3 linked regions of the Macaca mulatta genome follow. The protein of the gene in region 3 interacts with the protein of the main gene of each other region in a pairwise test. Links are inferred from orthologs where the notes say so. Each region holds a gene or a part of one and is shown on either strand. Other genes may lie near its edges. The genes, in order: TBX22, C1H1orf94 and VENTX.

Region 1 (3,614 bases), on a different chromosome or scaffold from region 3:
GAGCCCAGAAGGATGATCAATTTGCCACTCAAGGTCAGTCAAGCAGTTCCTGTGTCTAGGCCTGTCTTTTGGTCCATCTTTAATCTTTCCCCTGAAGCAATGTCTGGGTCTTAGAGAGTACAAGTATCATTTTCCCTTTATTTAAGTCCTCAACCTACAGCAGGCTGAAAGTGGCCCAATTGTTCTAAAGCCAAAAAGCCCTTGTGGGATACATCCCAGACACACCAGCTTGCCAACACTTTGACTCGGGGGCTTGGGGTCTAGTTCACGGTTGGAGGGGTGGGGAGGTGACAGCTGTTTACACTAGGGCTGTGAGCATTTGACACAGAGGCGGGTCCCTGGTCCTCCAAGGAGACAGCCCACCTCAAAACCAGAGCTAGCTTTGAAAGCAAGGAGAAGGCTCAGCTCAGAGGACTGCTGGGGCTGCAGTATGAAAACAGCAGAAAAAGCTGTTTGCTTCTCAAGTTGCAGCTGGCATGGGAATAGGCGCAAAACTGGGAAGTTGAGATTGGAAATAGTGTGAAAATCGGCCAGAGGCTGTGCAGGACTGTGTTCCTAAGAGTTTTCTTGATGTGAAGCCTTATTGGCAAAAGGGCTTCCACGAGGACAGGTGACAGTAGGCTAGACAGAAATACTTGTCAGCCCTCCACTTCTTCCCAGACTCTTCACACCCAAAGCTAGTGGATTTTTCCGTTGTCTCTGTGAGATAAAATGGGTTAGATCAATTTCTGTGGCGTTTTCTGTGAGAAAATACAAACCAGACTTAGAAATCTCATGACATTTTACTTGCCCTGCACTTCATTGCATTTTGATGACATATGCTTATTTACAGTTTATTTTTTGCCCCTGAATGCTTGTTAGAAATTAAGTTGAATCTTCTGCTTACTTGCCCTTGAGATCACTGGGCTAATCTGGAGCAAAATCCTCAGGAACAGAACACAACAGCTCCCAGCTTTGGCCTGCTGCACCTAGTGCCACAGCATGTGTTTTTTCAGGTATGTGTATCACAGCTCACAGTGGATGGTAGCCGGGAATACGGATCATCTGTGCATCATTCCTAGATTCTATGTTCACCCGGACTCACCCTGCTCAGGAGAGACCTGGATGCGGCAGATCATCAGCTTTGATCGCATGAAACTCACCAACAATGAGATGGATGACAAAGGCCATGTACGTGAGCAAAATCCTTTACCCTGAGTAGGGAGGTGCCAAGGCTCCTGCCCACTGGCCACCCTGGAGAGGCCAAGGAAGCTTTTTGCAGATGTACATGTTGTGTTTTTTAGGAACTGTCCAAGCCCTGCACCTGTAAGTAAAGTAGCCAACCTAGGGCTCCTGAAACGTTTGTTTGGCATCTGAGAGTGCTGGCAACTGGGGATGGCGAATATAGGGAGTTTGAGGACAGAAAGAGACCTGTTTAAGCCAGAATGCCTGGTCTGGGAGAGTAGGATGGAACCATTCAGGGAGTTCTCAGGCACCATAGCCTCCTGGGCAATCACTGTGATCTCTGATTGCCTTCCTATAGTCCACGCAGTTGGATGGGCACCCAGTGTATTGTATGGTGTGGTGGAAGGATACAAGTGGGGGAATGTCAGACTGCAGCCTGGAAACCTCCCCACCAACCAACCCTCATAGGTACTATTGATCTTGCACATTGTAACTAGGTGCATCCCTGCTTCTGCCCTCCCCAGTCTGGCACTGTGCCGGCTACAAAAGGAAAGACGGAAGCTCCCAAGATTAGGAGGTAGGGTATGCCAGAAGGTTACCCACCATGTCCAAGCCCATCAGTTACTGCCATGAGAACCTGTAGCAGGCTAGCAGATCGCAGTGCCACTTCCACACCAGATGGTCGCCAATGTTTGAAGCAGGAAAAGGCCTCAATCTGGAAATGGAATCACTGCTGACAGGTGCCGCTGAGGTGCCTTTCTCTGGAAATGTTTTTAGCTCGGAGCGCATCCCTCGGAGTGCCTCTGTTGGAGGCCAAATGGCATAACAAAATAGTTACCTAAGCCTCATCATTGCCTTTTAGTGTGCACGTGGTGGAGGTGGTCAGGAGAGAGAACTAGGGTTGGGGACTGGAAGCCAGTTTTTCTAACAGCATTGGTCATTTCTCCTCCAGATTATTCTGCAATCCATGCATAAGTACAAACCCCGAGTGCACGTGATAGAGCAAGACAGCAGTGTTGACTTGTCCCAGCTTCAGTCCTTGCCCACTGAAGGGGTTAAAACATTCTCCTTTAAAGAAACTGAGTTCACCACAGTAACGGCTTACCAAAACCAACAGGTAAAGCTGGTCATGTCTCAGGCAAATGGAAATGGCTCCAGAGGGACCTTGGGATAGAGGCTAACTGCAATCAGTTGCATTTTCCACAATTCTAAATAAAAATCATAGTTTTATTGAATTGTCATCCATGCAAGTTTGATAATGAATTGTGTAAATCTTATGTGAGAAGGCAACTCCAGAATGTAATTTATAAAAGTAATGATTTATAAATAGGAGCTAACCATTCTAAATATGACTTGCAATATGGTTACATTTATTTAAATTGTCATATTACATGTTGCAACATCTTTTCTGGTGGTTGTAACCACTATAAGCAACGGTGACAGTGTTCTCACTGAAAGCAATGATATTATCTTTCTCTCTCTATTGAATCCATAGATTACGAAACTAAAAATAGAAAGAAATCCTTTTGCTAAAGGATTTAGAGATACTGGAAGAAACAGGTAAGCAGCATAGCAATGACATCTAATATTGATGTAGCTAGCTATTTTCACAAGTTTTTATTTTTATTTTTATTTTTTTTTTCTGAGATGGAGTCTTACTCTGCTGTCCAGGCTGGAGTGCAATGGCGCGATCTTGGCTCACTGCAACCTCCGCCTCCAGGGTTCAAGTGATTCACTTGCCTCAGCCTCCCAAGTAGCTGGGATTACAGGCGTGAGCCACCACGCCCGGCTCCCCACAAGTTTTAAGGATAAGAAAACTGGCTCAGAGACTCAAACACTCTAAATTTTGTAATTAGTAGGTGGTAGAAAAGGAACCCAGATGTTTTGTGTCTAAAACATTACTTCCTCCCACTCCTTTGCTACTCAGTATTAAGATCTTGCTTATTTTAGAATTCTAGGTTTAACTGAATTTTATTCAGAAGTCTAGCTGTATAAAAGAGAAATATTTAAAATAGTTACATCTAAAAGACATAGCCAAATAACTCAAAATCATTATGTTCAGAAATTGCATTCTGGGGATGCTGAAAGTTGACTCTCTTTTTTAGGGGTGTATTGGATGGGCTTTTAGAGACCTACCCATGGAGGCCTTCTTTCACTCTCGATTTTAAAACGTTTGGCGCAGACACACAAAGTAAGAAAACTTGGAACATTTGTTTTATTTTTACATATTAATTAAATAACAACATCCAGAACACTTGTACCAAATACTATACAAAGGGATATGTACATGCAAGAAAATGTGTACTTACAGGTAAGTGGGTGTACCTCTGCCTGAATGATGAGGTAAGAGGCATAAAGGGAGAGAAGCTGGCATAAAGGAAGAGAATAGAAATGTGGTAATTGTGGACTTATTGAGATATGTTAGTAAGTTATCTTACACCCTGTGATTT
Region 2 (4,135 bases), on a different chromosome or scaffold from region 3:
AAATTAAACCCTCCAAACCTCAGCCACATTATCTGTAAAAGGAATTTCACTTATAAATGGAGGGGTGGAGGTAGCAATTGAAGCCAGAATGGCACAATGTGATAATTATCAAAACTCAGTGTAGACACATAGATATTCACCATATTATTCTATGTGTTTGAAAATCTGCATAATAAAAAGTAAAAAGAGATGGAAAGTTCAAAAGAGTACCTACCTCATACAATAATTGTAGAGCTTAAAGAAATGATTACATCTGAATTGCAGGGAATTTTTACAAATCTGAATTATTACCATAGATGTTTAAATATCCCATTTAATCATTCCAACAACCCTACAAAATGTGTAGTATTAATCTCCATTTGGCAGATGAGGAAACCAAAGTTTAGATAAATTAAACCGTAACAAATTCTTCAAATGTCATGGGGCTGAAATGGAATCTGAAACCAGAGTTATCTGACTCCACCAGCACACTGCCTTTAAGAATAGCTCATTGTGTTCTATTTTGTTGACAATTAGGATATTGTTTATTCATCTAAGTCAGTGGTTTCCTATCTCTTTTCTCAATAGCAGAAACATACTTTTCAAATTCAGCCCTTCTCAGAACTCCAGTAAGTAAAACTGATAAAAGCTAAACAGCTCTGGCTGAAATGGATTTTGGGGCCCAGCAACCAGCCCGCTTGACTCCACGGTACCCCTGAAGCACCTTGAGGTATATGGAGCATAGTGTGAAATCCCAGATTGAAGCCGCCAACAACAACAACAACAACAACAACAACAACAACAAATCCCAACCTGAAGAAGTACAAGTTAAGGGCAGCCTGATTTGTATAATGCATCTTTCATTTCACTGTCTCCCATCACATCGGATCCTCATTATCAACTCTGAGGTGGACAAGGCAGTGCATATCATCCTCAATTTGCAAATGAGGAAATAAAGGCCAAATGGAGTTAAGCAGCTGGCCAAAGGTGCACCAGTTCAATTTTCAGCCAAGTGCAGACTGGAAGTAGAGTCTGTCTCCATTAACTCCATGTGACCTGGCAAAGAGGGTGCCATCTACTGGAAATTGCTACTGACCCTTGGTCCACGAAGTGGACAATCAGCTCCTTGGCCACTGAGAGCTGAGCACAGCCCTCTTGCCAAGGCCCTGTCCCGGAGCAGATGGCAATGAGCAGGGAAGAAGGGCTCAATGCCACTGAAGGGCCTGACAGCAGGATTTTGGCTGTAGATAGGCCATTCCTATCTGAGCCATGTCGTGCTGAGCACAGGGCAGGGAGGCAGGACTAGCCAAAGTACCTTCCACCTTCATCTGCAGTAAGTAAATGAGCCCACAGAGGGACAGCAGGTAGTGCAGAGGTGGGTGTCCGTTACACTTTGCATTTCTTCTTAGCTCTTGCTTTGGCATCCCTGAAACCTGAGGCAGCTGATAAATGCCTGAATGGCTCCCCAACTCCAGAGCATCTCTGAACTGAGCTGTAGCATGTGTTGGAGCAGGCAACACTTAATTATCGGTTAGTCTTTAATTAGCTCTTAATTATTAACACTTAATCCATCTGTAAAATGGGGACACTAATACCTGCCTCATAGGGACTCTGGGAGCATTAATTAAGTTTACAGTCCACTTTGAAGATGCAAAATGTGAAATAAGTGCTCAACAGTGGTATTAATAACCACAGCAGATTTACCTTCTTTTCCTAATGAGGTCCCTTTTTCCTCTCTGCTCCTTCCTTTCCTTTCGAATATCCATCCCCAACAATATCTGCCCAACTTTGCCCTGATGGAGAAACACTTAGCTCTGTGTTTCCCAGACACAGGATTTCCCATCCAGGAAACGGGCTATTTACAGCCATCTTCCCGCACTTTAATTTTCTATTATGTCCTCTGAATATGTCAGTGCCTTCCCAGTAAATATTTTGATGTGTGCTCTTGCAGCAGCTTCTGTGGAGGCTGAATGGGACAGCTGCTCCCTGTATTAGGGAATTCCAGATGTGATTTAAAACCATCAGTCTCATCCATGTGAATGCCTAGCCTTTAGGTGGGAGAGGGGAAGGATCTTCTAGTTGCTTCTGGGGAAAGTCACGAGCCATGTAACCCTTAGCCTTGGCTAGGGTGGTTTTTCAAGGACCTCAGATTCACATGCGTTTAGGATGAGAGATGTCTGCTTAGTGGGCTAGTGAAGAGGCAGCCTGGAATATAGCCCTAATCTGGCTCTTCACCCACGAAACATCAGAACCTTGGTCAGCTCTTCTATAACGCTTGGACAAAGGACCATGGAAGGGGCAATATACAGCCTTTAGGGTTTCAGCAGCCTCAAGGGTGGGCCAGAACATTCCCCTAGAAGGTCAGACTTCATCTCCTCCCTCCTCCCTTTCTGCCAACGGAATAGGGGGGTACTCACTCTTCTTGAAAGCTGAGCTCATTGCCTCTTAGAGTTCCAGCCACGGGGACAGACAGCTGCTCCATGGAGGTCCAGGGCTGTGAGGCTTCAGGCAGGCCTTGAACTCTCTTCCAGATTTCATGGCAAGTCTTGTCTAGGCTGTCTTGGGGTGTGTCCTGGTGGATCCAGATGTATCTGGGGAATGGGCCCAGGGCGCAGGGGCGCTTGGCCACCAGGGCCGAGGATGAAGGAAGCCCATTCCCACTTGCCATCCTCCTCCGCTCTTTCTGGAAGCCCCTCTGTCCACCCAGGGCTAGAAGACATCCACCACCACTCCTCATTCACCAGAAAGGGAGATGAGGATGGGTCTTGGCAGAAGTGGGTCAGTTCTGTCTGGCTGTCGCTCCCACAAGGTGGTTAGGTTCAGAGGCCTTCGATTTGTGTGGGAGGGGTGGGTGGAGGACAGTTTTCTTTTGGGGAGGGGAGGGCTTATTTTGATTTGTTTTTATTTCCTCTTTCCTAACTTTTGCCGCCCTCCCCCTCTCCCTCAGAAGAAAATATTTAAAAGTCAACAAAAACCAGTAGCTTAGGAACAGTGGAATGCCCCGGAGCTCAGGAACCAGGCGCCTGGGCGGGCAGAATGACATCTGGGAACAGCTGGAGGGGGAGGGCTGGCTCTCCCCACAGTCCCTGGCACTGCCCCCTTGCGACGCCGCCGTGACACCTTGCGGCGCCTGGGCTCAGCCCATGCTGGCCCGCTAGGACACGCGGAGAACTGGGTGCGGGCCTGACACCATGGTAGGCACCCGGGGGGCGGGGCCCCGCAGGAAACGCTCGCCTGGGCGTTCCCAGGGAGCCCCTCGCAGAGCGAGCGCCAACGGCCCGGTCCCCGCCGCCGGCCCAGTTCTTGCTTTACTCTCGCCCTACCCCACCTGCTCCTGGTCTCCCGCTGCTGCTCTGCCGCCCCGGGAAAGAAGGGACGAGGCGTGTGTGGATGGGCCCACAGCCCTCAGTCCCGGCCCCCAGCAGACCCCTGCCCTGGCCGCGCCGCGCTGCGGGATGGGCACCGGGAAGGGCCCAGCAGCTCAAGAGCGCGCTGACTCGGCAAGGCAGGCTGGGCCGGGCGGCTCCCACCAATTTGCCCTGCCAATGGCTCCCACACCCTCGCAGTCGTCGAGCGGGGGAATTCTTTCTGTGGGTTTCAAACGCAACGGCTCGGTGCGCGGGACGCCCTGGGTTCGGAGCCCAAGACCCGCCGGTGGGGTGGGTGGGGGTGGGGCCCAAAGGACCCCAGAGCGCTTCGGCGGATCAGAAGTCAAAGCCAAACGCGCCGCCGCCCCACTTCACCGCTCCACACAAACCTCAGCTCCTGCCTGGGGGGCCACCTCATCCTCGAGTTTAATCCTAACTGCCATTTTATGGGGCGCTTGCCCTGTGCCAAGCGCTGGGCTCACATTCAATCCTATCAAAGCTCGTGAAATTAGTACCACTTTTTATTATCGTTCTAAATGGGAGGAAAGCGAATCTCAAAGTCATAAATGATAGTGTCCAAGGCCCACTAAGAAAAGGGGAGCTGAGATTCAGACCCCAGCACTCTAGGCCTGATCTAGCCCTTGAGCACTGAGACTGCTTCAGTAGGTGGGCAGGAGCAGGGGTAGGAGGTCCGAGGTGCTGGGAGAAGGGCTAAGTTAGCTGTTTACTGATCAACAGGCCCCTACCCTCACTGAAGCGGCTTCATTCAACTGGGCACTGACACAGTA
Region 3 (4,373 bases):
TGAGGCCGAGGCCGCGGGGGTGGGTGTTGGGGAGGGATTGGGGCCTCCCCTTCAGGTGGTCTCAGAGTGCTCGGAGGAGGCTTGGGCGAGTCGTGACGGGGCCGGAGGGAGCAGGGCGGTCTGGACCCGGCGGCAGCACACGCTAGGTCCGGTGCTTGTCCTCAGGCCGTGGACTCGGGGGAAGCCCGTTTCGGGGACTAGTTGGGCTCCGGGCTGTGCGTGAGGGCGGGGCTGCCAGCCTGGGAGTGACGCGGGACTTCCTTGCCCAGCGCAACCCGGCCTGGACCCCGAGGGTGGGGAATGGGGCGACGCCCGCGGGGACCACCCTGTGCGGCGTGCGGGGCGCAATTCTCGGGGCTGGGCTGCCCCAGGGGCTGGGAGGGAGGAGGCGGAGGAGCGCCCAAGTCTCCTACCCATGGCGGCGCATCAGGACGCGTCCCAGAGCTGGGGGCGGACGGAGGCTCCGAGGCGGAGGCTCTGGTGACCCCAGACCTGGGCCAGAGCAGCCTCCGCGGGCCCTGGAGGGAGGGTGGAGGCAGAGGCCCGGGCTGCAGGAGTCGGGGGAGCCTGAGCCACGGCGGTGGGGCCGCTTGCCAGGGGAGAGGGGCCACCCAAGCCGCAGCAAGGGGCTGGGGTGGGGGCCCAGGACGAGGGGCTGTCTGGCCCTGCCGTGTGAAGGTGAGGAGGGGCGGTTCAGGTGGAGGTGGTGCGGGGGAGCTGGGAAACTGGCAGGAGGAGCTCTATGCAGAGCTGGGGCCGGCGAGGGGAGCTGAACCACGTGCAGAAGGTGGCTGAGACCTCGGGGCCGGGCCCCTGGAAATTAGAGATGGAGACGTGGAAGGCTGGGTGCTGGCGTTTCACAAACCCATGCTAGTGGTTTCCTCTTTATGTAAGGGATGCTTCTGGGCCTTTTCCCTGCCTGTCGAAAGTTCTGTGTGTGTGTTTGGGGGGCGGGGTGGGAGGTGAGGGTGTGCTGCGTTTTGCTCCACTTTGAGGCACCGCCCCGCCGCAGCCCCCACCCTCAGGGCCTCTGCTCCCAGGTGGCAGGGCCGCCCCCACTGCGGGAGGGCTGGGTACCTGCCTCATGGGGCATCCTCGGGGCCAGCCCTGTGGCCGTAGGCATCTGGGCCCTCGCTGCCCCTGGCCGGAACACTCTGCTGGTCCTGGGCAGTGGCTTCAAATCCCCTCTCCCGGGGGTGACCCGGTCTCTCCGGAGATGAAGTGGGGACGGGGTCTAGGCCGCCTTCCTGGCCCCCCAGCCCTCCTGGTTTTACCCCCGAGGCCACGTCCAAAGCCCCCAGCGCCCCACCCCTGCCAGCCTCCCCCTTGAGGGCCCGGTGGCCTAACTGGGTCGGCAGGGTCCGAGGAAGACCAGGGTCAGCAGCGGCGCGGTCCGTTCCCCGACCCCGTCACCTGTGACCCACCTGTTCCCCGTGAGGTCCCGCCCCAGCGCCCCCCTCCCGGGCTCCTCCCTCTTTTCTCAGCCCGGGAGGCGCGGATAGCCGGGTTGGGCGTAATCGTGGGGCGAGGCCCGCGGGTCTTTCTGATTTCGGAGAGCGGGGTGGGCGCTGAGGCAACCGCGGTCAGGACCCGGCCGGGAGTCGGGGCTGCTCCCTGGACCCCGTCTGCGCCGAAACCCCGCATGGCTTCGGACCTGCGCCCGCGCCTAACCCCGGCCGCCGGAGACGCAGTGCGGACCCCAAGCCAGTGCGCGGAAGACACCGTCCTACCCTCGGCGTGGGCGCAACGCGAGTCCGTGTGTCCCGGCGCGCGGGAAGCTGGTCCGAGGCCGGAGGGAACGCTCGCGGCGTGGCTGCCTCCCACCCGGCCACTTCGGCCCCGCGCCCCACCCCGACGGCGCAGGCGACCCGGGGACGCCCAGGACGCGGAGACGCAAACAACTCGGGACCGAGGTTCGTGGGAGCAGCGGCCGCGCGTCGCGATGACCGTCCCGGGAGCCCGTGCTCAAGGCGTCCCCGTGAGGTTTGGGCTCCACAGTCCCCGGCGGCTCTGCCCCCGTCCTGGCCACAGTGGGGACAGCCCGGCTTGGCGGGGACGCGCCAGTCCCGCAGCCGAAGCGGAGTGTCTACCCCGCCGCGCGAGGCAGTGGCTCCGGCCCTTCCAGCTCCGGATGGGGTCAGGGAGCCGCCCGCGCCCGCATGCGGAGGCTGCTGCGATGGCCCCGGGAGTGAGTCCCCCAGAGGAGCCGGAGTAGGGCTGGAAGCGGACGAGTGCCCCGAGAGGCCCCTCCCGACATTGCCGTCCCCGCGCGCCGCTCCCCGAGCCCTCCGCGTCTTTCCCGGAAAGCGTCCCTCGGTTCCTGCGCGACCGCACAGCCTGGACGCAGCGCACGCGGGCACCGGCTGAGTCCGCCCTGACTCTCCCAGCCTGAAGCCTGCTCGCCCTCGGGTGTCCGGGCTGGGCACAGGCGCCAGCGTCCCCCTGGAGAGGAGAGGTCGCCCGGCACCGCCCAGGGCAGGCCCGAGTGGGAGCGGGACCCTCCTACCTTCCAGCAGCCTCTGCCCGCGGGGTGGGGGTTGGGAGAGATGAAAGGAGGTGACCGATGCCGAACCGTTCCCTCTCCATTAACCAGGGCCCGCAGCCCCGCCCCTGCCCCAGACACCGAGGAGCCGGGGAGGTGTGAACGGTCTCCTTTGTGTCTCTGAATCGAAGGCAATTAGGCGCTGCTTATCCGGGCGTTAGCCGTGTATGCAAACCGGGCTCCCGCCCCCTCCTCCCGGGCTTATAAACGCCGCCGCCCGGCGAGGCCGGAGGTGGATCCTGCGCCTGGCCAGCCCCGCCCGGCCTTCCCTCCGGCCCACCTGGCCGCCATGCGCCTCTCCTCCTCCCCACCTCGTGGCCAGCAGCAGCCCTCCAGCTTTGGCTCTGTGGACTGGCTCTCCCAGAGCAGCTGCTCAGGGTTGACCCCCTCGCCCAGGCCTGCCGACGTCTCCCCGGGGAGCCTCCCTGGCCCGGGCCAGATATCCGGCGCCCGGGAGCCCCCTCAGGCCATCAGCATCAAGGAGGCCGCCACGTCCTCAGATCTGCCTGCGCCGGAGAGGACCGTGGCTGGTAGGTCCGGGCCGGGGGTCCTTCCCAGGTGGAGATGGGAGTGGGGGAGAGGCCAGGAGCCCGGCGGCTGAACTCCCCGCGGTACGGGGCGGACGAGGTCAGGGCCGGGGACGTGTCCATGAGGGCCGGCGGAGGCCTTGCCTGCGCCTCACTGGAGCGCAGCTTCCCTCGAAACCAAAGCCTTGACGGGGATTTTCTCTCCTTGAGCCCTCGGTGGGCTCCTCTGCCTCCCTTGGCACCCCGTTCCTCAGCTGTGTCCCACCGCGGCCTGGTGCCGAGGGACCGTCCAAGGGGTCCCTCTCCGCACCTCTCTGCCCTGATTCCGGGCGCTCACTGAAACACAGCGCGGGCGTGGGCACCTGTGCCCCTGGTGTTCCAGCCCCGCAACCATCGGGACCCAGTTCCAGGGGTCCGACGATTTGCCAAGCCCCCTCTGCCCCCAGCAAAGCCAGTGCCTGCTCAGCATCTAGGCTCAAGCCCCTTCCAGGCCACCTGGAGCACAGCTGTCTTTTAAAGAGCCTGCAGGTTTGCTGTTAGGGCGGCGGTGACCCGGTGCCTGCAGAAACTCTGAAGTTCGGTCTGTGGCCCGGAGATGCTCTGTTGTCTGCTGAGAACAAAGGTTCTCCGCGTTTGTGTTTTAGTCTTTGTGACATCGTTGCCGCTTTTAGGTTTAAGGTAGTACTTGGTCAAAAGTGGGGTTAACATAAGTTTTCATTTTTAAAAATTTGACTGATCCTCATGGAGTAACTTTGTACTTCAGGGAAATGAAAATTTAAATATGTTCTTCCCAGCTAGCTATCCTGCCCCACCCCAAAAAAGTCAACCATTCCTGTCCCCCAACCCCCTTCCTGATCCCAGTCCTACAGCCCTCCCCGCCACAAGGCGTTTGCTTTTCGGGTCTCCCATGTGCTTTCAGGCTAACGTGAAGACAGATTTTGTAAAATACGCTTCCTTCCGCAGAAACTCCAGTGAGCATTTGGGTCAGACTTGAGTTAAATGTTGAGCTCGTTTCGCCACGTTGGCCTCCTTCCTGGGACCCAGACCACACACCACCTTGTGGGGTTGTTTAGTGCCAGCCCGCATTCCTTAACTTAGAAATTAGAAAACAGACTTGACCAAGGTGGGCCTGGGGATTAACTGAGCCGGGCTCTGCTGGCTGAGGAGCCGGAGCCCAGGACAGGGACCGAGTTCCCTGGGTGGGTCCCCAGGCCTTTGCATGTAATGGACTCTACCTTACCTGCCTGGAAGTCTGCAGAAAGGGCATCCTGGGAACCGGCTTCGGAAGGGAAGTGTGGGATGGG

What was found.
Region 1: the proteins of VENTX (region 3) and TBX22 interact in binary tests that used the Homo sapiens proteins (3 or more experiments, as listed by UniProt). The two-hybrid records come from large-scale screens. The link is inferred for Macaca mulatta from reciprocal best matches to the Homo sapiens genes VENTX and TBX22.
Region 2: the proteins of VENTX (region 3) and C1H1orf94 interact in binary tests that used the Homo sapiens proteins (3 or more experiments, as listed by UniProt). The two-hybrid records come from large-scale screens. The link is inferred for Macaca mulatta from reciprocal best matches to the Homo sapiens genes VENTX and C1orf94.

The regions. Positions count from the first base shown.
Region 1 is NC_133426.1:86,363,611-86,367,224, forward strand, and holds part of TBX22 (T-box transcription factor TBX22), read left to right. Parts: intron 1-995; coding exon 996-1,170; intron 1,171-2,116; coding exon 2,117-2,281; intron 2,282-2,659; coding exon 2,660-2,724; intron 2,725-3,269; coding exon 3,270-3,355; intron 3,356-3,614. UniProt on the Homo sapiens protein: Probable transcriptional regulator involved in developmental processes. This is major determinant crucial to palatogenesis.
Region 2 is NC_133406.1:206,661,094-206,665,228, forward strand, and holds the start of C1H1orf94 (uncharacterized protein C1orf94 homolog), read right to left. Parts: upstream 2,807-4,135; 5' UTR 2,717-2,806; coding exon 2,397-2,716; intron 1-2,396.
Region 3 is NC_133414.1:145,333,920-145,338,292, forward strand, and holds the start of VENTX (homeobox protein VENTX), read left to right. Parts: upstream 1-1,491; 5' UTR 1,492-2,831; coding exon 2,832-3,072; intron 3,073-4,373. UniProt on the Homo sapiens protein: May be involved in ventralization.